Linked DNA regions of Stegostoma tigrinum. The protein of the gene in region 1 purifies or fractionates together with the protein of each later gene. This does not show direct contact. Links are inferred from orthologs where the notes say so. Each region holds a gene or a part of one and is shown in the gene's direction. Other genes may lie near its edges.

The links. The genes of interacting proteins can lie anywhere in the genome.
Region 2: the proteins of eif4a3 (region 1) and serine/arginine-rich splicing factor 3 purify together in Homo sapiens (affinity purification with mass spectrometry; 3 studies listed by BioGRID and IntAct, with this or other methods). This does not show direct contact. The link is inferred for Stegostoma tigrinum from reciprocal best matches to the Homo sapiens genes EIF4A3 and SRSF3.
Region 3: the proteins of eif4a3 (region 1) and sap18 fractionate together in Homo sapiens (co-fractionation; 3 studies listed by BioGRID and IntAct, with this or other methods). This does not show direct contact. The link is inferred for Stegostoma tigrinum from reciprocal best matches to the Homo sapiens genes EIF4A3 and SAP18.

Annotation. Positions count from the first base shown.
Region 1 is NC_081362.1:20,270,683-20,277,818, forward strand, and holds the start of eif4a3 (eukaryotic initiation factor 4A-III), read left to right. Parts: upstream 1-4,126; 5' UTR 4,127-4,203; coding exon 4,204-4,348; intron 4,349-7,136. UniProt on the Homo sapiens protein: ATP-dependent RNA helicase. Involved in pre-mRNA splicing as component of the spliceosome. Core component of the splicing-dependent multiprotein exon junction complex (EJC) deposited at splice junctions on mRNAs.
Region 2 is NC_081374.1:45,876,575-45,883,478, forward strand, and holds the start of serine/arginine-rich splicing factor 3, read left to right. Parts: upstream 1-3,889; 5' UTR 3,890-3,958; exon of another isoform or gene 3,959-4,022; intron 4,023-6,516; 5' UTR 6,517-6,518; coding exon 6,519-6,724; intron 6,725-6,904. UniProt on the Homo sapiens protein: Splicing factor, which binds the consensus motif 5'-C[ACU][AU]C[ACU][AC]C-3' within pre-mRNA and promotes specific exons inclusion during alternative splicing.
Region 3 is NC_081359.1:73,360,405-73,367,594, forward strand, and holds the start of sap18 (histone deacetylase complex subunit SAP18), read left to right. Parts: upstream 1-4,175; 5' UTR 4,176-4,195; coding exon 4,196-4,309; intron 4,310-7,190. UniProt on the Homo sapiens protein: Component of the SIN3-repressing complex. Enhances the ability of SIN3-HDAC1-mediated transcriptional repression. When tethered to the promoter, it can direct the formation of a repressive complex to core histone proteins.

The DNA of each region.
Region 1 (7,136 bases):
GACTTTTTCAGGTTAACCTGTTCTGTTTCTCCAGCACTTTGATTTCATTTCAAATCTCCAGCATCCCCAGTATTTGCTCTAATACAGGTTGCTTTCACCCTGTCTTTTCTCAGTTTCTGCACAACTCTTGGTCCAACAGCTGCTTTACAGTTCTTGACAAGCTGCCTTTCTCTGCCTGATGCCAAGCTAAATTGCTTTTGCCAAGTTAGTTTCCTGTAAATTTTATCTTCTAACTCCAAGGTAGGCAGATCTTCCAATCTCTTTTCCCCTCCCAACTCTTTCTTCAACTGAGCATGAGCTCCCACTGTATCCTCACAATAAAATTAGTATTGTCATAGAGGTGCACAGCACAGAAACAGATCCTTCGGTCCAACACTTCCATGCTGACCAAATATCCTAAATTAATTTTGGCTCATTTGCTAGCTTTTGGCCCATATCCCTCTAAACCCTTCCTATTCATATACCCATTCAGATGTCTTTTAGATGTTGTAATTGTACCAGTCTTCACCACTTCTTCTGGCAGTTCATTCCACACACGCACCACACTCTGAGTGAAAAAGTTGCCCTCTAGGTCCCTTTTAACTCTTTCCCCTCTCACATTAAACACCTGCCCTCTAGTTTTGGACCCTCTAGCCTGAGGAACAGACCTTAACGATTCACCCTATCCCGTGCACATCATGATTTTATAAATCTCTATAAGGTCACCCCTCAGCCTATGATGCTCCAGCACCAGCCTAATCAGTCTCTCCCTATTGCTCAAACCCTCCAGCCTTGGCAACATCCTTATAAATCTTTTGTGAACCCTTTCAAGTTTAACAACATCTTTCATAAAGCAAGGGAATCTGAATTGAACATAGTAGTCCAAAAGTGGCATAACCAATGTCCTGCACAGCCACAACATGACCTCCCAACTCCTACACTCAATGCACTGACCAATAAAGACGAGTGTATGAAATACCTTCTTCACTACCCTGCCTACATGGGAATCCAATTTCAGGAAGAATAAACCTGCACTCCAAGGTCCCTTTGTTGGACAACTCTCCCAGGACATTTGCGTTAAATGTGTAAGTCATGGTCTGATTTGCCCTAACAAAAAGTAACACCTCACATTTATCCAGATTAAACTCCATCTGCCACTCTTCAGCCCATCAGCCCATTTGATCAATGTCCCATTGTACTCTGAAGTAACCTTCTTTGCTGTCCACTTCACCACCAATTTTTGTCATCTGCAAATTTTCTAACCATACCCCTACATTCACATCCAAATATCTTTGCTTCAGGTGCAGGCCTAGCTTACATCAATTTATTTTGTTCCTTCAACTCTGAGTGAGTTGAAACCTTCATAAAACCAAAGCTGCAACTTCCTCTACCTATTCGTAAATTGAACACTTTTGCAAAGCAAAATATCAGTCTTAAGACATTATAACATTAGAATTGTCATGACATTAGGAAAGGGGCAACCAATCTCCTAATTGAAATGAATGGGCGGAGATGATTGGGAAGAGATTTTGTTACAACATTGGTGTGTGTAAAATTGTAAAATGGGGAAAAGTATTGCATTGTCCCTTTAAAAGATTACGTTTTTTACAGTACTTAAGAGTTAAAATGGATGTCTGAACTAGGAAATTACACAGAAAACATCTATGACAGCAAGATCTGCAGAAGAAAGATGTTTGTGAGTTGAAATCAAGAGGAAATGCTGGAGAAGGCAGAGTGTTCCGGAAGACACACAAATCCACCCTTCACTCCATTCTCAATAGCGTGTCATTTCATCTTATCACTTTAACCCAGATATTAGGTACAGTTTTGTGGGCTCTGAAAGCTGTATGAAGACAAAGTTCAGATCACTATTAACAATGGATAACATGGCACAGTGGTAGAGTGGTTCGCACTACTGCCTCACAGCACCAGGGTTCAATTCCACCCTCGGGTGACTGTGTGGAGTTTGCATGTTCTCCCTGTGTCTGTGTGGGTTTCCTCTGGGTGCTCCAGTTTCCTCCCACAGTCCAAAGATGTGCAGGCTAGGTGGATCGGCCATGCTAAATTGTCCATAGTGTTCAGCGATGTATAGCTTAGGTGGGTTATAGGGGGATGGGTCTGAGTGGGATGCTCCAAGTGTCAGTGTGGACTTGTTGGGCTGAAGGGCTTGTTTCCATGCTGTTGGAATTCTATGAAGATGCAGTCTGTGTGAACTTGGAGAGATTAAGTTTTAATTTACTGTTTTATTAATTGGGTTTATATAAGTGGGACTTGTGTTTATTTGAAGTGTTTCAGTAGAATTTTGTTCAATTAGTGAAATGTTAGAAGTTGGGGGTGGAGCAACTGTTCAGTATGTTATTGTTAGAGTTAAATAAATAAATTGTTATTTGTTATTTATAAAGTGACTATCAGGAATTTTCTTTCACTTAACCTCCCCGGGTCCGTAACAGTTTAACAGATTAGGAGAGGTGAGGCGAGTTTCTCTGGGTGTTTTGGGTTTAATCATTAGAAAGGGACTGCGACTCCTGCTGTAACAGATTGGAGGCTTGTTTTTCAATTTTAGTTATCAGAAAGGTTCAACCTCCCCTTCCTAACAATTTTCAGTAAATAGGACCCTCGCTGCTGTTTTTGAGAAGTTGAGGGGGAGAGATTCACAGAGGTTAGAGTCAGAGGATCAAAGTCTGAGCATAGTTTTATGAGGTACAGCATTTCCAATTGATTGGAAGAGTGAGGCCATGGAAGATTTTAATACAAGGATTATAATTTTTAAATTTCAAACCTTAAAGACAGGAAGCCAATGAGATCAAAGAATGGTAAGGATTTGGAACAAGCAAGGCTTTGCACGTTTGGAAAACCGTAAACAGTTACAATTTTACATAGATTGGAAGATATGAGATCATTCTGGAATGTCAAATCTGGAGGTGACAATGCAAGGCATTGTAAAGGGTTTCAGCAGCAGCTGGTCTTAGAACAAGTGTGGAGGGGGACGCAGATGTGGTAAGCTTTCTACAAGCAATGGAAAGGATCTAAGGTCTGATATTTAGCCATGGTCAATCATGACACTGAGGCTGTGAATATTCCAGTTCAACCTAAATCATAAATAATAAGGTGTGGAGCTGGGTGAACACAGCAGGACAGGCGGCATCAGATGAGCAGGAATGCTGATGTTTCAGCTCTGGACCCTTCTTGAGAAACCGGTAGCATTGCAAACATCAAGGACAGTCTACCGACACCAATGCCACTCCATCCACCGCTGACGCCGCTCTGCCCACCGCCCCTACAGCTAGCAAGTCTATAGTCAAAAGCAGCCCCAGCCCTGCTGGGTTTTCACCATCCCCCTGGACCTCCCCCTCACTGAAGATGAACGGTCATTCCTCAGCAAAGGACTCACCTCTATCCCCCTCCATCCAAACATCAATGAATATTGCTCATGCCTGGAAGTTGAACAGTGTTTCCACCACCTCTGTGCTTATTTCTTTAATCGTGAGTCTATCCCCCCCTCTACGGACCCCTTCTCCCACCTCCAACACACCCCATCCTCCTAGACACCACCCCAAGGCCTCCTACCCTCCCTCGACCTCTTCAGCTCTAACTGCCATTTCCAAAGAAGGGTCGAGACCCAAAACAAGATAACAAAGTGTGAAGCTGGATGAACACAGCAGGTCAAGCAGCATAAAAGCTGACGTTTCGGGCCTAGACTCTTCATCAGAACCGAAATGTCAGCTTTCCTGCTCCTCTGATGCTGCCTGGCCTGCTGTGTTCATCCAGCTCCACACATTGTTATCTGATATTCTCCAGCGTCGGCAGTTCCTATTCTTTCTCAACCTGAATCATGGCTAGGGTGAAGGTTAGAATCAATTGCACAGAAGCAGAATCTGTGGTAGGGATTCAGAATACTTTGGGTTTCCCAATGCTCAGTTTGAGTAATCCAAGTTTAAGCCAATGCTATATTTCACGGCATAAAGTCTGTCAGCACAATGATAGGAAAAAAGGGATCAAAAATGGATAATTAAGGTGGCTATCATGGGAACTTAAGACCTCACGCTTTTCAAATATCTGGACCAAATCCCTCAGGAACTGCTGTCAATCAAATCGACGACACGCCCAGTGACGATATCACGCTGACGTACACGAGCTGGGTCACGTAGATTGGCGGCGTTCACGCATGCGTGTTGTCGGACTCTCCCGGTGTTTGACGGTATTCGTGTGACCAGGGACCGGATCATGGCAAGTTCGGGGAGGAAGCGCATCCTGAAGGAGGAAGATATCTCCAAGGTGGAGTTTGAGACAAGCGAGGAGGTGGATGTCACCCCTACCTTCGACACGATGGGCTTGCGGGAGGACTTACTGCGGGGTATCTACGCGTACGGTGAGTGCGGCCTAGACTGGCAGGAAGCCTCGCGGCGGCGCGATGCTGAGGTGATTGAAACCAGGGCTTCAGACCTTGGCCTTGATGGAGTGGACCCTGTTCACGCTCCTGGAGCCAGAGTGTTTCTGTTAGAGGCCCAGGATGCCCGCAAATCCATCTCCTTCTTCCACTAATCAGTTGCGTGCATTAAGTGGACAGCGCCCTCAACGGTAAGGATTTGGAACAAGCAAGGCTTTGCACGTTTGGAAAACCGTAAACAGTTACAATTTTACATAGATTGGAGGATATGAGATCGTTCTGGAATGTCAAATCTGGAGGTGACAATGCAAGGCATTTTAAAGGGTTTCAGCAGCAGATGGTCTTAGGACAAGTGTGGAGGGGGGCGCAGATGTGGTAAGCTTTTGCTAAGAAATTAAGGTCCATGACATTTTGCTGGCTGTAAATAAAGTAATTACCATAATCCCAATGGACTGTAGGGCTAAGAAAAAAGGTGTAGAGCTGGACTGTAGGGCTGCTGTGTCATTAGAAATGCCTGTGGTGTTTTAACATGAGAGTAACCACCCAGTCAGACAAGAGGCACAGGTGAGAAGGTGGGACCTTCGTAGTAACCTCAGCTGGGACAAGAATTGAACGTTGGCTGTAAGCATCACCTTTACATCACAAAAGAGTCATCTAGCCAGCAACCATGAAGTAATTAAATACTGTTGAAGTGTAACTACCTTTGCAGTGTAGGAAACAGTTTTAAAATTGGAAGGTGTTAAGCTTCTTGAGTGATGTTGGGGCTGCACTCATCCAGGCAACTGAGGGGGTATTCCATCACACTCGTGACTTGTGTGTTTGCAGATGGTGGACAGTCTTTGAGGAGCCAGGTGGTGAGTTACTCGCCACAGTATTCCCACTTCTGGCCTGCTCTTCTAGCCACCGTGTTTATGTGGTGAGTCCAGTTGAGTTTCTGGTCAGTGATAACCTCCAAGATGTTGATAGTGGGGGATTCAGTGTTGGTAACACCGTTGAATGTCAAGGGCTGGTGGTTAGATTGTCTCTTGTTGGTGATAGTCATGGTCTGGCATTTGTGTGGCATGAATGTCACTTACCACTTGTCAGCCCAAACCTGGATGTTGTCCAGATCTTGTTGCATTTGAACACGGATTGCTTCAGTATCTGAGGCATCATGAGTGGTGCTGATCATTGTGCAATCATCGGTGAACATCCCCACTTCTGACCTTATGATGGAAGGAAGGTCATTGATGAAGCAGCTGAAGATGGTTGGACTGAGGACACTATCCTGAGGAACTCCTACACAGATGTCCTGGGGCTGAGAATGATTGACCTTCAACGACCACAACCATATTCTATATTTCAGGTATGACTCCAACCACCAGAGAGTTTGCCCCCTGTTATCCATTGATTCCAGTTTTGCTCGGGCTCCCTGATGCCACATTCAGTCAAATGCGGTCTTGGTGTCAAGGGCTGTCACTTTCACCTCACCTCTGGAATTCAGCTCTTTTGACCGTGTTTGAACCAAGGCTGTAATGAGATCAGGACCTGAGTGGCCCTAGCGGAACCCAAACTGGGTGTTGCTGAGCAGGTGCTGCTTGATAACACTCTTAATGACACCTTCCATCGTTTTACTGGTGATTGAGAGTAGACTGATGGGGTGGTAATTGGCAGTGTTGGATTTGTCCCACCTTTTGTGTACAGGACGTACTTTGGCAGTTTTCCACACTGTTGGATTGTGACTGTACTGGAACAGCTTGTGACTGTTGTGACTGTACTAGAACAGCTCAGTTAAAGGAGAGGCAAGTTCTGAAGCACAAGTCAGTACTGTTGTCGGTATGTTGTCAAGGCCCATAGCCTTTGCAGTATCCAGTGCCTCCAACCGATTCTTGATATCTCATAGAGTGAATCGAATTGGCTGAAGACTAGTATCTGTAATGCTGGGGACGACCAGAGGAGGCTGAGCTGGATCATCCACTTGGCACTTCTGGCTGAAGATTGCTGCAAAAGCTTCAGCCTTATCTTTTGCACTGATATGCTGGGTTCTTCCATCATTGAGGATGGGGATATTTGTGGAGTGGCCCCCTCCAGAGAGTTGTTTAATTGTCCACCACCATTCACGACTGGATGTGGCAGGACTGTAGAGCTTAGATCTGATCTATTGCTTGTGGGATCACTTAGCTCTGAGTGTCACTTGCTGCTTTCTCTGTTCGGCGTGCAAGTAGTCCTGTTGGTGGCTTCACCAGATTGGCACCTCATCATCAGGTATGCCTGGTGCTGTTCGTGGCCTTCCCTCCTGCACTGTCCATTGAACCAGGGTTGAGTCACTGGCTTGATGGTAATGGTTGAGTTGGGGATATGCCGGGCCATGAGGTTACAGATTGTGCTGAATTGCAATTCTGGAATGAACTGCCAGAGGAAGTAGTAGAGGTGTGTACAGTTAGAATATTTAAGACATTTGGACAAGCACATTACTAGGAAAGTTTCAGAGTTATATGGGCCAAACTGAACTGGGATGGAAAGGTTACCTTAGGCGAAAAGGTTAAGGAGGTGGGTGTATATCATTTGGAGTTTGCAAGAATCAGATTTAATCTTAACGAGAGAAGTAAAATTATGAGGCCCTGACACAGATACTAAGAGGAGGTTTACCCCCACTGGGGTCTGTACAATGAGGAAGCAAAATTTCAAGGCAACAGGTATCTCATTTAGGGCAGAGATGAGGCAAAACTTTTCCTAATGAATGATAGGAAGGGACTCCATTGGCTAAGTGGCCAACTGCTGTTGAATCCAA
Region 2 (6,904 bases), on another chromosome or scaffold:
AACCCGGGTCCCTGATGCAGTGCCAACCACTGTGCCACCTACTCATTGTTACTTTCTCATTTCAGTCCACAAGTAAAAATATAGAAGAATAAACAAGTAGGGTCCTTATTAGGCAGGAGAAGAGAGGACCCAATGGTGTTAATAATCAGAAACTTCATTCAAATGCACAAGCAGACAGGCACAAGGGTAGCATGCATGTTTACCTGAGACACCAGGTGACCTGACACGAGGGGTGGCACGGTGGTTCAGTGGTTAGTATTGCTGCCTCACAGCGCCAGGGACCCGGATTCGAGTCCAGTCTCGGGCGACTGTCTGTGTGGAGTTTGCATGTTCTCCCCGTGTCTGCGTGGGTTTCCTCTGGGTGCTCCGGTTTCCTCCCACAGCCCAAAGATGTGCAGGCTGGGTGGATTGGCCAATCTAAATTGCCTGTAGTGTTCAGGGATGCGTATATTAGGTGGTTTATAGGGGGATGGGTCTGGGTGGGATGCTCTGAGGGTCAATGTGGACTTGTTGGGCTGAAGGGCCTGTTTCCACACTGTAGGGCTATGAAGGGCTACAGCCACACCATCAGAAATCTGCTGTCTCAGGCATGTGATTGTCTCAGAGCAGTCTCAAAGTCTGCTGGATATGTGGCCAGACCTGAACTCTCAGAGATAGTAGGAACTGCTGGTGAATCTGAGATAACAAGGTGTAGAGCTGGATGAGCACTCCAGGCCAAGCAGCATCAGAGGAGCAGGAAGGCTGACATTTCAACCTATTTCTGAAGAAGGGTCTAGGCCTGAAACGTCACCTTTTCTGTTCCTCTGATGCTGCTTGGCCTGCTGCATTCATCCAGCTCTACACCTTGTTAACTTAGATTCTCCAGCATCTGCAATTCCTACTATCTCTGATAGAGTTCTGGTCTGTCCACATATCCAGCAACTCCATCAGCGTAGCCACTGGTCTTCAGCAACAGTAAGGCAATAGGGGCAAGAGGAACTTTGAGCTCACTCCAGTCATCCCTTCCTCTCATAGAGACTAGATGGAGGACGAACCACATACTGACCTTCAGAAGTCTTCTAACAGGGAACTCCAGAAGTAGCGGGGTCTTCCTGCTTCACCTTGCCTGCTACCTTCAGACCAAAAGGAGTCTAAGTCAAAGAGGGTGCAGTTGTCTCTTGAAAGGGCATACTGAACATGTCTGGGCTGAGGCCCCCTGGGGCCATCCAGCCAAACTGACAAAGCCAATGGGCTCCAGTATACAGCAGGCTTCCTCCAAACCAGGGACTGCACTGACAGGTAGTGGGAGGGAAAGAAATAAGACCTATTGAGGGTTGTATTGGTAGCACGGGTGACACGTCGTTGTAAATAAGTTCTCACTTTTGTAAATGTGTATTCACTTGTCACTGTCATCTGTTTGTGTATCTCTGTGCATCTGCAAATGCAACGCTGCAGGTACTGCCTCAGCTACCTAGAATACACCTCCTCCCACCCACCCTCCTGCAAAAATTCCATCCCCTATTCCCAATTCCTCCGCCTCCGTCGCATCTGCTCCCACGATAAGACATTCCACTCCCGCACATCCCAGATGTCCAAGTTCTTCAAGGACCGCAACCTCCCCCCCACAGTGATCGAGAACGCCCTTGACCACGTCTCCCGCATTTCCCGCAACACATCCCTCACACCCCGCCCCCGCCACAACCGCCCAAAGAGGATCCCCCTCGTTCTCACACACCACCCCACCAACCTCCGGATACAACGCATCATCCTCCGACACTTCCACCATCTACAATCCGACCCCACCACCCAAGACATTTTTCCATCCCCACCCCTGTCTGCTTTCCGGAGAGACCACTCTCTCCGTGACTCCCTTGTTCGCTCCACACTGCCCTCCAACCCCACCACACCCGGCACCTTCCCCTGCAACCACAGGAAATGCTACACTTGCCCCCACACCTCCTCCCTCACCCCCATCCCAGGGCCCAAGATGACATTCCACATTAAGCAGAGGTTCACCTGCACATCTGCCAATGTGGTATACTGCATCCACTGTACCCGGTGTGGCTTCCTCTACATTGGGGAAACCGAGCGGAGGCTTGGGGACCGCTTTGCAGAACACCTCCGCTCGGTTCGCAACAAACAACTGCACCTCCCAGTCGCAAACCATTTCCACTCCCCCTCCCATTCTCTAGATGACATGTCCATCATGGGCCTCCTGCAGTGCCACAATGATGCTACCCGAAGGTTGCAGGAACAGCAACTCATATTCTGCTTGGGAACCCTGCAGCCGAATGGTATCAATGTGGACTTCACCAGCTTCAAAATCTCCCCTTCCCCCACCGCATCCCTAAACCAGCCCAGTTCGTCCCCTCCCCCCACTGCACCACACAACCAGCCCAGCTCTTCCCCTCCACCCACTGTAACCCAAAACCAGTCCAACCTGTCTCTGCCTCCCTAACTGTTCTTCATCTCACCCATCCCTTCCTCCCACCCCAAGCCGCACCTCCATATCCTACCTACTAACCTCATCCCACCTCCTTGACCTGTCCGTCTTCCCTGGACTGACCTATCCCCTCCCTACCTCCCCACCTCCCCACCTATACTCTCCTCTCCACCTATCTTCTTTACTCTCCATCTTCGGTCCGCCTCCCCCTCTCTCCCTATTTATTCCAGTTCCCTCTCCCCATCCCCCTCTCTGATGAAGGGTCTAGGCCCGAAACGTCAGCTTTTGTGCTCCCGAGATGCTGCTGGGTCTGCTGTGTTCATCCAGCCTCACATTTTATTATCTTGGATTCTCCAGCATCTGCAGTTCCCATTATCTCACTGCAGGTACTAATGCCCCACATCCCTACCACTAGGTAATGTGCCATGGACCAGGGTGCAAAGTGAACAGCTGCTGGCAATGGGTGAATTGCAGATACCGGTGACTTTGGCAACTGGACTCCATCTTGCAGTTGCACAAACACTGCTACTGCATTTGTGTGGTTCAATCGTCATCATGTCATGCTGCATAAGCAACAAGTGTGGGGAGATTGGGACGGCTGACGTGGAGGCGTGGTGAAGGGAGATGGTGAGGGTGATGGGGAGGGGAGATGAGAAGGAGATGGTGAGGGGTTAATGAAGAGGGGATGGTGAAGGGATGATGGGGGGAATGAGGAGGGAATGGTGAGGGGGTGATGGTGAGAGGGGAATGTGGAGAGGGATGTGGACGGGATAGTGAGGGGAATGGGGAGGGGACGGTGTGAGGGGCATGGGGAGGGGATGGTGGGAGGGGGATAGTGAGGGGGGATGGGGAAGAAATGGTGAGGGGGAAAGTGGAGGGGATAGTGAGGGGGATGTGGAGGGGATAGTGAGGGCAATGGGATAGTGAAGGGGGATGGTGAGTGGGGAATGGGGAGGGGACGGTGAGAGGGGAATGGGGAGGGGATGGTGGGAGGGGGATAGTGAGGGGGGATGGGGAAGAAATGGTGAGGGGGAAAGTGGAGGGGATAGGGGAGGGGATAGTGAGGAGGGACGGTGGGATAGTGAAGGGGGATGGTGAGTGGGGAATGGGGAGGGACGGTGAGGGGGAATGGGGAGGGGATGGTGGGAGGGGGATAGTGAGGGGGGGTGGGGAAGAAATGGGGGGTGGGGAAGAAATGGTGAGGGGGAAAGTGGAGGGGATAGTGAGGGCAATGGGATAGTGAAGGGGGATGGTGAGTGGGGAATGGGGAGGGGACGGTGAGAGGGGGATAGTGAGGGGGGAGTGGGGATGGGATGGAGATGGTGAGGGGGGAGAACGGAGGGGACGGGACTGTGTTGGCATGGGGATGGTGGGGGAAGGGAGCGGGCCGAATGCGGGTCCTCCGCCAATCAGACGCCGGGGTTTGGGTGCGGGGGTGGGGCCGGGGCTCACACGTGACTGCAGCTATTTCCGTTAGTTGTGGCGCGAGGCAGCGGCCATTTTGTCTGAGCGCGAGGAGTTGGAGGGAGCGAGCAGGTACCGTGACCGGGGAGGAACCGATAAGGATTAGGGACCCCCCACCATCCCCCTCGCCGGGCTAGTGAGTTACAGGCCGGGAATCGGGGGAGGGGTAAGGTAGGAGGCGGCAGGCGGGCATGAATCACGGCGTGGGCTGGGTCGGTGGGGATCGGCCCTCAGGGTCTCTTGTCCCCGGGCCTGCCGTGAGAGTGCTGCCCGGAGAGCGGCTCTGGGTCAGCCTCTGCCTCCGTGTGTGTATATTATATATATATATATATATATATATGTGTGTGTGTGTGGGTAGGGAAGTGTCAGGAAGTTCAGCCTCTTCCCGGGGCCGTCCTCGGGTGGGGCTCGGCGCCTCTGCCGCCATTTTCTCGGCAGAGACTGAGAACAAAGAGAGCGGCGGTCCCTGGGCCCTGACCCCCGGCCCGGCGGCCAGTACTCGGACTCAACCGGATCCGGGGCATCGCTGGACGCTCGGCGGCGTCAGCGCCGTGTCCTACCCGATCTTGCTAAACACCCACCACACCACCATCTCTCTTCTCTCTTTCCCCCCCCCCCCTCCGATAATCAGGCATTCCCTTCTACCACACACCCCCCCCCCCATACACAGGCATTCCCTTCTACCACACACCCCCCCCCCCATACACAGGCATTCCCTTCTACCACACACCCCCCCCCCCATACATAGGCATTCCCTTCTACCACACACACACACACCCCCATACATAGGCATTCCCTTCTACCACACCCCCCCCCCCCATACATAGGCATTCCCTTCTACCACACACCCCCCCCATACATAGGCATTCCCTTCTACCACACACACACCCCCCCCATACATAGGCATTCCCTTCTACCACACACCCCCCCCCCCATACACAGGCATTCCCTTCTACCACACACCCCCCCCCCATACATAGGCATTCCCTTCTACCACACACACCCCCCCCCATACATAGGCATTCCCTTCTACCACACATCCCCCCACCCCATACACAGGCATTCCCTTCTACCACACACCCCCCACCCCATACACAGGCATTCCCTTCTACCACACACCCCCCACCCCATACACAGGCATTCCCTTCTACCACACACCCCCCCCCCCCATACATAGGCATTCCCTTCTACCACACACACCCCCCCCCCCCCCATACATAGGCATTCCCTTCTACCACACATCCCCCCACCCCATACACAGGCATTCCCTTCTACCACACACCCCCCCCCCCATACATAGGCATTCCCTTTTACCACACATCCCCCCACCCCATACACAGGCACTCCCTTCTACCACACACCCCCCACCCCATACACAGGCATTCCCTTCTACCACACACCCCCCCCCCATACACAGGCATTCCCTTCTACCACACCCCCCCCCCCATACACAGGCATTCCCTTCTACCACACACCCCCCCCCCCCATACATAGGCATTCCCTTCTACCACACACACCCCCCCCCCCATACATAGGCATTCCCTTCTACCACACATCCCCCCACCCCATACACAGGCATTCCCTTCTACCACACACCCCCCACCCCATACACAGGCATTCCCTTCTACCACACACCCCCCCCCCCATACACAGGCATTCCCTTCTACCACACCCCCCCCCCATACACAGGCATTCCCTTCTACCACACCCCCCCCATACACAGGCATTCCCTTCTACCACACCCCCCCCCCCCCCATACACAGGCATTCCCTTCTACCACACACCCCCCACCCCATACACAGGCATTCCCTTCTACCACACACCCCCCACCCCATACACAGGCATTCCCTTTCCCCTTTCTACCCCCCCCCATACACAGGCATTCCCTTCTACCACACACCCCCCCATACACAGGCATTCCCTTGTCCAAAGGCATGACCTTTGCCATTGTGACTTAATTTCTCTGGTCCAAATATGGAGGCAGCTAATGATCCACTAGTTCATGAAGCGTTTGATTTTGTAGCTGTCCCAGTGACAGACTAGCCACTTGAAGGTGTTCAGGTGAAATATTGATCTGTTGTATCCAAGATCTGTTTGGTTTTGTCTGCAAGCTGCTTTAGCAACATTTTAAGCTAACTCATCCCAACTCCTTGTTCACTTCTCAGAATATCTGTGCTGAATATTTGATTACATATGTTTTGCTTTGTAGAGTTTTGCAGCTGTTTCCACAGATATTGGTCTGAAATTACTTGGTTTGTAGTGGTTTCAGGATTCCTCCTGTGGGATAGTAAGCGTTGCATTACTCTCTCTAGACCCTTTGTGTGACTTTAAGGGGGTCAGCAGTGCAATGGACATGTGAAATGTGAAGCAGTTTCATACTTGCATGCAAGTGCTGTGACTGGATACTGGACTTTCTGTGGGGTTTGGTGTCCATTTAAAACATATCTTTTAATGACCTCCATATTGCCATTATACTGATGTTGAGGGATTCCAGATTAATTCCTGAATTATTTAAAGTGCTCATTGTGTTGCTTGTTTTTCGAGGTTTTAAATGTCTATAATGACTCAAGGTTGGCAGAATGTGTAGAATCTGTTAACTAAATTTTTAAAATTTGTATCTTGTATTCCAGCCATGAATCATGGTTCATGTCCTCTTGACTGCAAGGTGTACGTAGGAAACCTTGGAAACAATGGAAATAAGACAGAGCTTGAGAGATCATTTGGATATTATGGCCCTCTCCGCAGTGTATGGGTTGCCCGGAATCCACCTGGATTTGCATTTGTTGAGTTCGAAGATCCGCGAGATGCTTCGGATGCAGTCAGAGAACTTGATGGAAGGTAATTATTTCCCTCCCTAAAGTTGGTGTCATTCCCTTTTGAGTTGTCTTCACAGCTTTTGTTGCATACTTCCCAAAACTGATTCTGAGAAGCAGTCAGATCAATGTGCTGTTGATGAATGGAGACATTTTATGGACATGTGGAACTGCTCCATCTAATGGCCAGAGTGAGATTGCAGCA
Region 3 (7,190 bases), on another chromosome or scaffold:
ATGACTGTACTCACCATAACAGACGGGACAGTATAAATTCCCAGTGGAGTAGAATAACATCACTTCATCGGAACCTCCACTGATGGCGTCACCTAGCATGGTGACAAAACTTGTGAACAAAAACAAGCCAGCTCGGCGAGCAAGTCAACAACTTCAACCGCTACCTGAGGCTGAATCAGAATATTTGTAAACTTGGCACCCACTAAACTCTGTGTTGAGATATCAAGCCCTCCTTTTCATCAACTATATTGCCTTTTCCATCTTCAAGTCATCATCTGTTTCTTCCCCTGCTGCAGCTAATTTGCTGTTAAAATCTTAATTCATTCCCTGTTACCTGTAAAATTAATTGTTCTAATGATTTTCTGGCTGGACTCCAACATTTCATTCTCTATGAATTTGGACTTATTCAAAACTACCTATGTCTGAAGTTAGTGAGTCTCATTTGTCTGTCACCCGTTTCTCACTGACAGACATTTTCTCCTAGGTGACTAATGCATCAGTTTGAAAATTCACATCCTTGTTTTCAGAGTCCTACACAGCCACAGTCCATGACCTACCTGTGTTCTTTCCTCCAACCCCTACAATCCTCCAAGATACTTGTGCTGCTCCAATTCAGGCCTCTTGAACACCACCTGTTTTAATTGCTACAATGTTGGAGGCAATGTCTTCAAGTGCAGCCTGGAACATAAGATGTGGAATTTCTGCAACTAACAAACACCATACTGCAACACTACCGCCACTCACTTCTCATGACCCCCAACTTTTCTACTGTTCTTTCCTTTTTAAAAATGCTCTTTAAAACTTGTTTCTTTCAGACAACTTTCCAGATATCTGCATGATGTCAAATTTTGCCAAAGAATTATCTGCACTAGTAATTAAGGCAGTTATTTGAATATTAGGATTCTAAATAGCGAGAGGAATTTGGGATTATTCTAATTTGTTTATGTGGGGAAATTATTAGCATGCTATAAGATATAGAAACAGTAATAAGCTATTCAGCCCATTGTGTCCATTATTCAAGGAGATCATTGCTGATCAGATGATCATCAACTACACTTTCTTGTCTTATTCCCCAACCCTAGACTCCTTTAATAATTAGAATTCAGCTTTGAATATGCGTAATTACCCAGATTTGACAGCCATCCTCTGGTGACTGTCTGTGTGGAGTTTGCACATTCTCACTGTATCCACATGGGTTTCCTGCAGGTGCTCTGGTTTCCTCCCACAGTCCAAAGATGTGCAGGGTGGGTGGATTGGCAATGCTAAATGCCCATAGTCCTCAGGGATGTGTAGATTGGGTGGGTTATAAGAGTACAGGTCTGGGTGGGATGCTCTGAGGATCGGTGTGGACATGTTGGGCCGAAGGACCTGTTTCCACACTGTAGGGATTCAATGATATCTATGAATTCCACAGATTCACCTGCCTTAAATAGAAGTTCCTCCCCATGTCTATCTTAAATGGGTGACCCTTTACTCTGAGATTATGCCCTCTGGTGGTAGAATCTTCCACAAGGGAAAGCAACCTTTCTCTATCTACCCTGTCAATCCCACTAAGAATCTTATATGTTTCAATAAGGTCTTCTCTCATTCTCCTAAACTCCAATCAGTACACATTTTCTATAAAGAAAATCAATTGATTGATTGATTGAATGATTTAATGTCATGTGTACCGATGTACAGTGAAAAGCTTTGTTTACAAGCAGTACAGACAGATCATAGTAAGCAAGAATGCACCGTTCAAAAAGACTTAGACAGAGGCATACAGGTTATATTGCACAGGGCATGCACCAGGCAAGATCAATGTTGCAAGATCCGTATTATTTGAGGCTAGAAAGTCCACTCATTAGTCTAATACCAGCTGGGAAAAAGCTGTTCCCTCCATACACTAGACCAATCTAGTGAATCTTCTCTGGATTGCCTCCAATGCCAGCATATCTTCCTTTAGCTAAGGGGAAAAAAGAACTGCTCACAGTATTCCAGGTATGGTTTGACAAGTTAACAAAGTGTGGAGCTGGATGAACACAGCAGGCCAAGCAGCATCTCAGGAGCACAAAAGCTGACATTTTGGGCCTGGTCTAGGCCCGAAACGTCAGCTTTTGTGCTCCTGAGATGCTGCTTGGCCTGCTGTGTTCATCCAGCTCCCCACTTTGTTATCTTGGATTCTCCAGCATCTGCAGTTCCCATTATCAATGATTTGACAAGTACCTTGTTTAATTTTATAAAGGCCTCACTATTTTTATACTCCACTCCCTTTGAAGTAAGGGTAAACATTCCATTTGCTTTCACCATTAACCACTGAACTTGGTTTCTAATTTTTTTGTGATTTATGTACCAAGACTTCCAAAATCCCTTGTCCTGCAGTTTTCTGCAGTCTTTGCACATTTAAGTATTATTCAGCTCTTCTATTCTTCCTGCCAATGTGCATAACCTCACATTTTCCAGCCCTATATTCCAATAACTAAGCTTTTAGCCACTTGTTTAACCTGTCTATTTCCCTTTGATGACCCTCGGTATCATTGTCACTACTTGCATTCCCGCCTTTGTTTCTGTCAGCTGCAAACTTGGTGATCATGCATTCACTGGGGGTGAACCAAGTGACCAGTCATTGACATTTATCATAAACGAAAACAGAAGTTGCCGATAAACTCAGCAGGTCTGGCAGCATCTGTGGGGAAAAATCAGAGTTAGTGTTTCGGGTCTGGTGATCCTTCTTCAGAACTGATGGAGGCGAGGAAATTGGTGGTTTATATGCGGAAGACAGGATGGGGGAAGGGGGTGATGAGTAAATGGTAGTTGGGTATAGATCCCAAAGAGATAGAACAGTTGGACAAAGGAGTTGATTACAATCTGGCCAGGAGGGTGATTAGCTGTTTATGGAGACTGTCAGTGGCTGACAATAGGTAGTGTGAAATGACAGGCTATGTGATAACAAGGCCTGAAGTGTGGGGTGGGGACAAGGACGTGGGAGAGTCCAAACTCTAAAATTACTAAACTCCACATTGAGCCGGGTGGGCTGCATGGTTACCAAGTGGAAAATGGGGTAACAGAGTGTGGAGCTGGATGAATACAGCAAGCCAGGCAGCATCAGAGGATCAGGAAAGTTGATGTTTCAGGCTGGGACCCTTCTTCAGAAAATGGAGTGTTATGCTTCCAGCTTGTGCTGAACTTCACTGGAACACTGCAGCAAGCCGAAGACAGAGATATTGGCCAGGGAACAGGGTGGTGTGTTAAGGTGGCAGGCAACTGGAAGCTCAGGATCATTTTTGCAAGCAGAACATAGATGTTCTGTGAAGCAGTGATAATGGGAACTGCAGAGGCTGGAGAATCCAAGATAATAAAATGTGAGGCTGGATGAACACAGCAGGCCCAGCAGCATCTCAGGAGCACAAAAGCTGACGTTTCGGGCCTAGACCCTTCATCAGAGAGGGGGATGGGGTGAGGGTTCTGGAATAAATAGGGAGAGAGGGGGAGGCGGACCGAAGATGGAGAGAAAAGAAGATAGGTTGTTCTGTGAAGCAGTCACCCAGTCTGTGCCTCATTTCCCCAATGTAGAGGAGACCACATTGTGAGCAGCAAATGTTGCAGACTAGATTGAGTGAAGTGCAAGTGCTGCTTCCCTGGAAAGTATGTTTGGCCCCTTGGATGCTGGGGAGGTAGGAGTCAAGTGTGATAACAAGATGTAGACTGGATGAACACAGCAGGCCAAGCATCATCAGAGGAGCAGGAAGGCTGAAGTTTCCTCTGATGCTGCTTGGCCTCCTGTGTTCATCCAGTTCTACACCTTGTTATCTCAAATTCTCCAGCACCTGCAGTTCCTACTATCTGGGAGATAAGTGTTGCAGCTTCGGTGGTTGCAAGGAAAGGTGCCGTGGGGCTACTGGGGAGGTTGGTGTCAGCAGAGAAGGAATGTAGACCAAGGTATCCCGAAGGGCACGGTCCCTGCGCAAGGCAGACAAGGGAGGAGACGGTAAGGACAAGGAGAACCTTATCGTTGTTGAGGGAGAGACAGTAGATGGTTCGGACCCCGTTAAGAAATGATGGACTTTCGGTTTATATTTCATTGCCACGTTCCTTCGCTCTACTGCCAGTCACCGTGGGCAGTTGCCAGGAGCAAAAATGGTCGCCGCAGTTGTCACAAATAGTTTGTTGACATGCGCATGCTGCGTGCGCAGCTCTCGGGACTTGCTCGCTCTCTATGGTGCGGTCGCCATCGTTGAGAGAGCGGCGGGGCGGGAATATGGCGGTGGAGTCTAGAGTCACCCAGGAGGAGATCAAGAAAGAGCCAGAGAAGCCGGTGGATCGCGAGAAGGTGAAAACTGTTCGCACTGACGGGGGTGGGCGGGGGCTAAGGTAGTAGCGGCGACCCTGCAGGTTGAGTCAGGTCAGGGCCTGGGATGTCACCTCCGGGAAAGTGCACGTTGGATGATGCCGCTGCCGCCGCCTGAAAGTGTCCGGAGCTCGGATTCTGACTGTAAGGGTGCGGGCTCTCTCTGTCTGTCTCAAATGTGAACCATTTCTCACTGAGTGAACTGACTGAGGGCCCGCGGTCTACGCTGATTGAGGGTGAGGCCAAGATTTCCCCTTCGGTCCAGTTTTAGCCGGTAACTGGAAATTTCTAAATCAGAAACTAGGAAGTATTTTGTTTTTCAACCTTTGTTTTGTTCTGAATGTTTTTCTTTGTAATGTGTTGTGACGGTGCTAATAGGGTTTCCAGTTAATCGTAGAATTACGGCTAGGGACCAGTGCAATTGGAGCTATGGGTCGCCTACTGTTTAATTTCATTGACTGAAATTAGACTGGACATCGGGTACGTCGTGGAGGGGTGATGTGATCCCCATTTTGCCAGCGCTCAGAACAAATTTTTGTTTTCACATATAAGAACAAAAAAGGGACACACTGGTTTATGCAAATAATTTAGCCATGCCTGAATTTTGCATCCAATATTTTATGCCTGTTCACAGCATTCTTTTCTCCGCACATCTCAGTTTGGTAAACGTATCCCATTCAGAAGAAAGCGTAAATCTCTCAAATCGTTTCAAAATAGATGTGAAATTAAGTGGAGAATTTTGAATGCAGCAGGAAGCTTGTTTTTTTCGATAGCCTTTTAGCTTGTGATTTTTCTTAAAAATAAAAATCTGTTTCACTGCAGACTTTTGTGGGGTTTTTTGGTTTCTTTGAACACCGGACCCAAGTCGTTAACTCTGTTTTCTCCTCCACAGATGCTGCCAGACCTGCTGAGCTTTTCCAGCAACTTTTTGCTCCTGATTTACAGCATCTGCAGTTCTTTTCATTTTATAAGTCACATTAGAAATGGGTTTCCACAATTCAGTGTTTTTTTTTCATTATGGAAAGTGAATGTTGCAGGATACCTAACCTGAATTGCCTTGGTAAAAGTGATGGTGAAGTACCATCTTGAACCATTTCTGTCCTAAGAGTGTAGCGACACCCACAATGGTGTTAGGAAGGGAGTTCCAGAATTTTGATCCACAGTAGCAGATTAACTTGATGCTGTTAATTTTCCCATGTTTCAGCTACCCTTGTCCTTGTAGGCAATAGAGGTTTGGAAGATGCTGTCAGGGGATCCTTGGTAAAATACTGTGATGTACTTCGTAGGTGGTACACATTGCTGCCACTATGTCAGTGCTGAAAGAAGTGACTATTGAAAGTAGTGGTTGGGGTGCCAATCAGGTGGATTGTTTGGCCTGCGATAGTTTCTTGGCTGTTGTTGGAACTGCGTACAGGCAATGGACAGTATTCCATGCCGTTCCTGATTTGTGCTAGACTTGATATTGGGCAATGAGATTTACAACAGTCTTTTTCCCAGATTTTACAGCATTTTGCAGTGTCTTGTTTTTATCTTAAATCTGTGTCCTTTGGTTCTCGATTCTTCCACAAACAGGAATACATTCTCTCAACTCTGAACCACACAATTTTTGACACATGTCCTCTTGTTATCTCTAACAAGAACAACCACAACTTCTCCAATCTATCCAAGAGCTGAACTTTCCTATTCCTGAAATTATTCTCCCAAATCTTTTCTGCATACTCTCTAATGCCTTTACATCCTTCCTAAAAAGCGATGCGCTGATCTTGAGGCTGAGCCAGTGTTTTATATAGGTGTCTCAATTTTCTTCCATTTGTACTTCGTTCCCATTCTCATGAGCATACTTTAGAAACTCTTTCACAACTAGCACAAGAGTGCTGGAGGAACTCAGCAGATCTGGTAGCATCGGTGGTGATAAACAAAGTTAAATTTTCAAGTCTAGAATGACACAAATGTTGCCAAACCTGAGTTTTTCCAGTATTTTCTGTATGTTACAGATTTCCACTAACCACAGTATTTTGCTTTTATTAGAAACTCTTTTCCCCTTTCTGCCCTTTATGCTATTACTGTTCAGTCGCTACTGGATTAAAGTTTTCTGTTGTAACTACACTATAATTCATGAATGTTCTTGCAGACTTGTTCCTCTACATCTTTTCCACTAGTTAGTTGCCTATAGGGTACATCCAGAAGTGTAATTATATTCCTCTGTTCCATAGCTGTAAGACTCCTCTAGGATAACCCCTCTCATTAGTACTTTAATTTCTCTTTAATTAGTATTGCTCCCCACTTTTCCAGAGTACCTTGCATCTAGGAATATTTAGTCCCTCACTCTACCTTACTCATTCAAGGCATCCATTATCACCACAACATAATTTGCATGTGGCTATTTGTGTCTCCCCCTCACCAGCCATATTTGGTGCACTTAATACATTCACATGTATCCATGTTAAAACTTACAGCATGCCCCTTACGCTGACAGTATTTCATGTCATGTTGTATCCTATTTGAGTTTTTTTGTCTTTACAATTCATTGTGCATTTTGTTTTGCTTTGCTAATATTCCACGCTTGTACCAATTAGTTTAAACCCACTGAAGTAGTGTTAATAAACCACCTCAGCGGCTGCTCACTAATCAAGTGCTGATGTCTGCTATTTCTTTGCTTAATAGTGCGGCCAACTGAAATATTTTTAACTCTTTTCTAAAAACCTTGGATTTAAATTTACTGAAAAATTCATTGTCCCTTAACTATTTAATTTTAACTGTATCTATCAGGTCAAATTAATTGAATACTGATTGTAATGGAATGATGGCAGGTGCTGACCTAATCGTATTATCAGTAGCCTATTAATCTAGATATTTAGGTAAT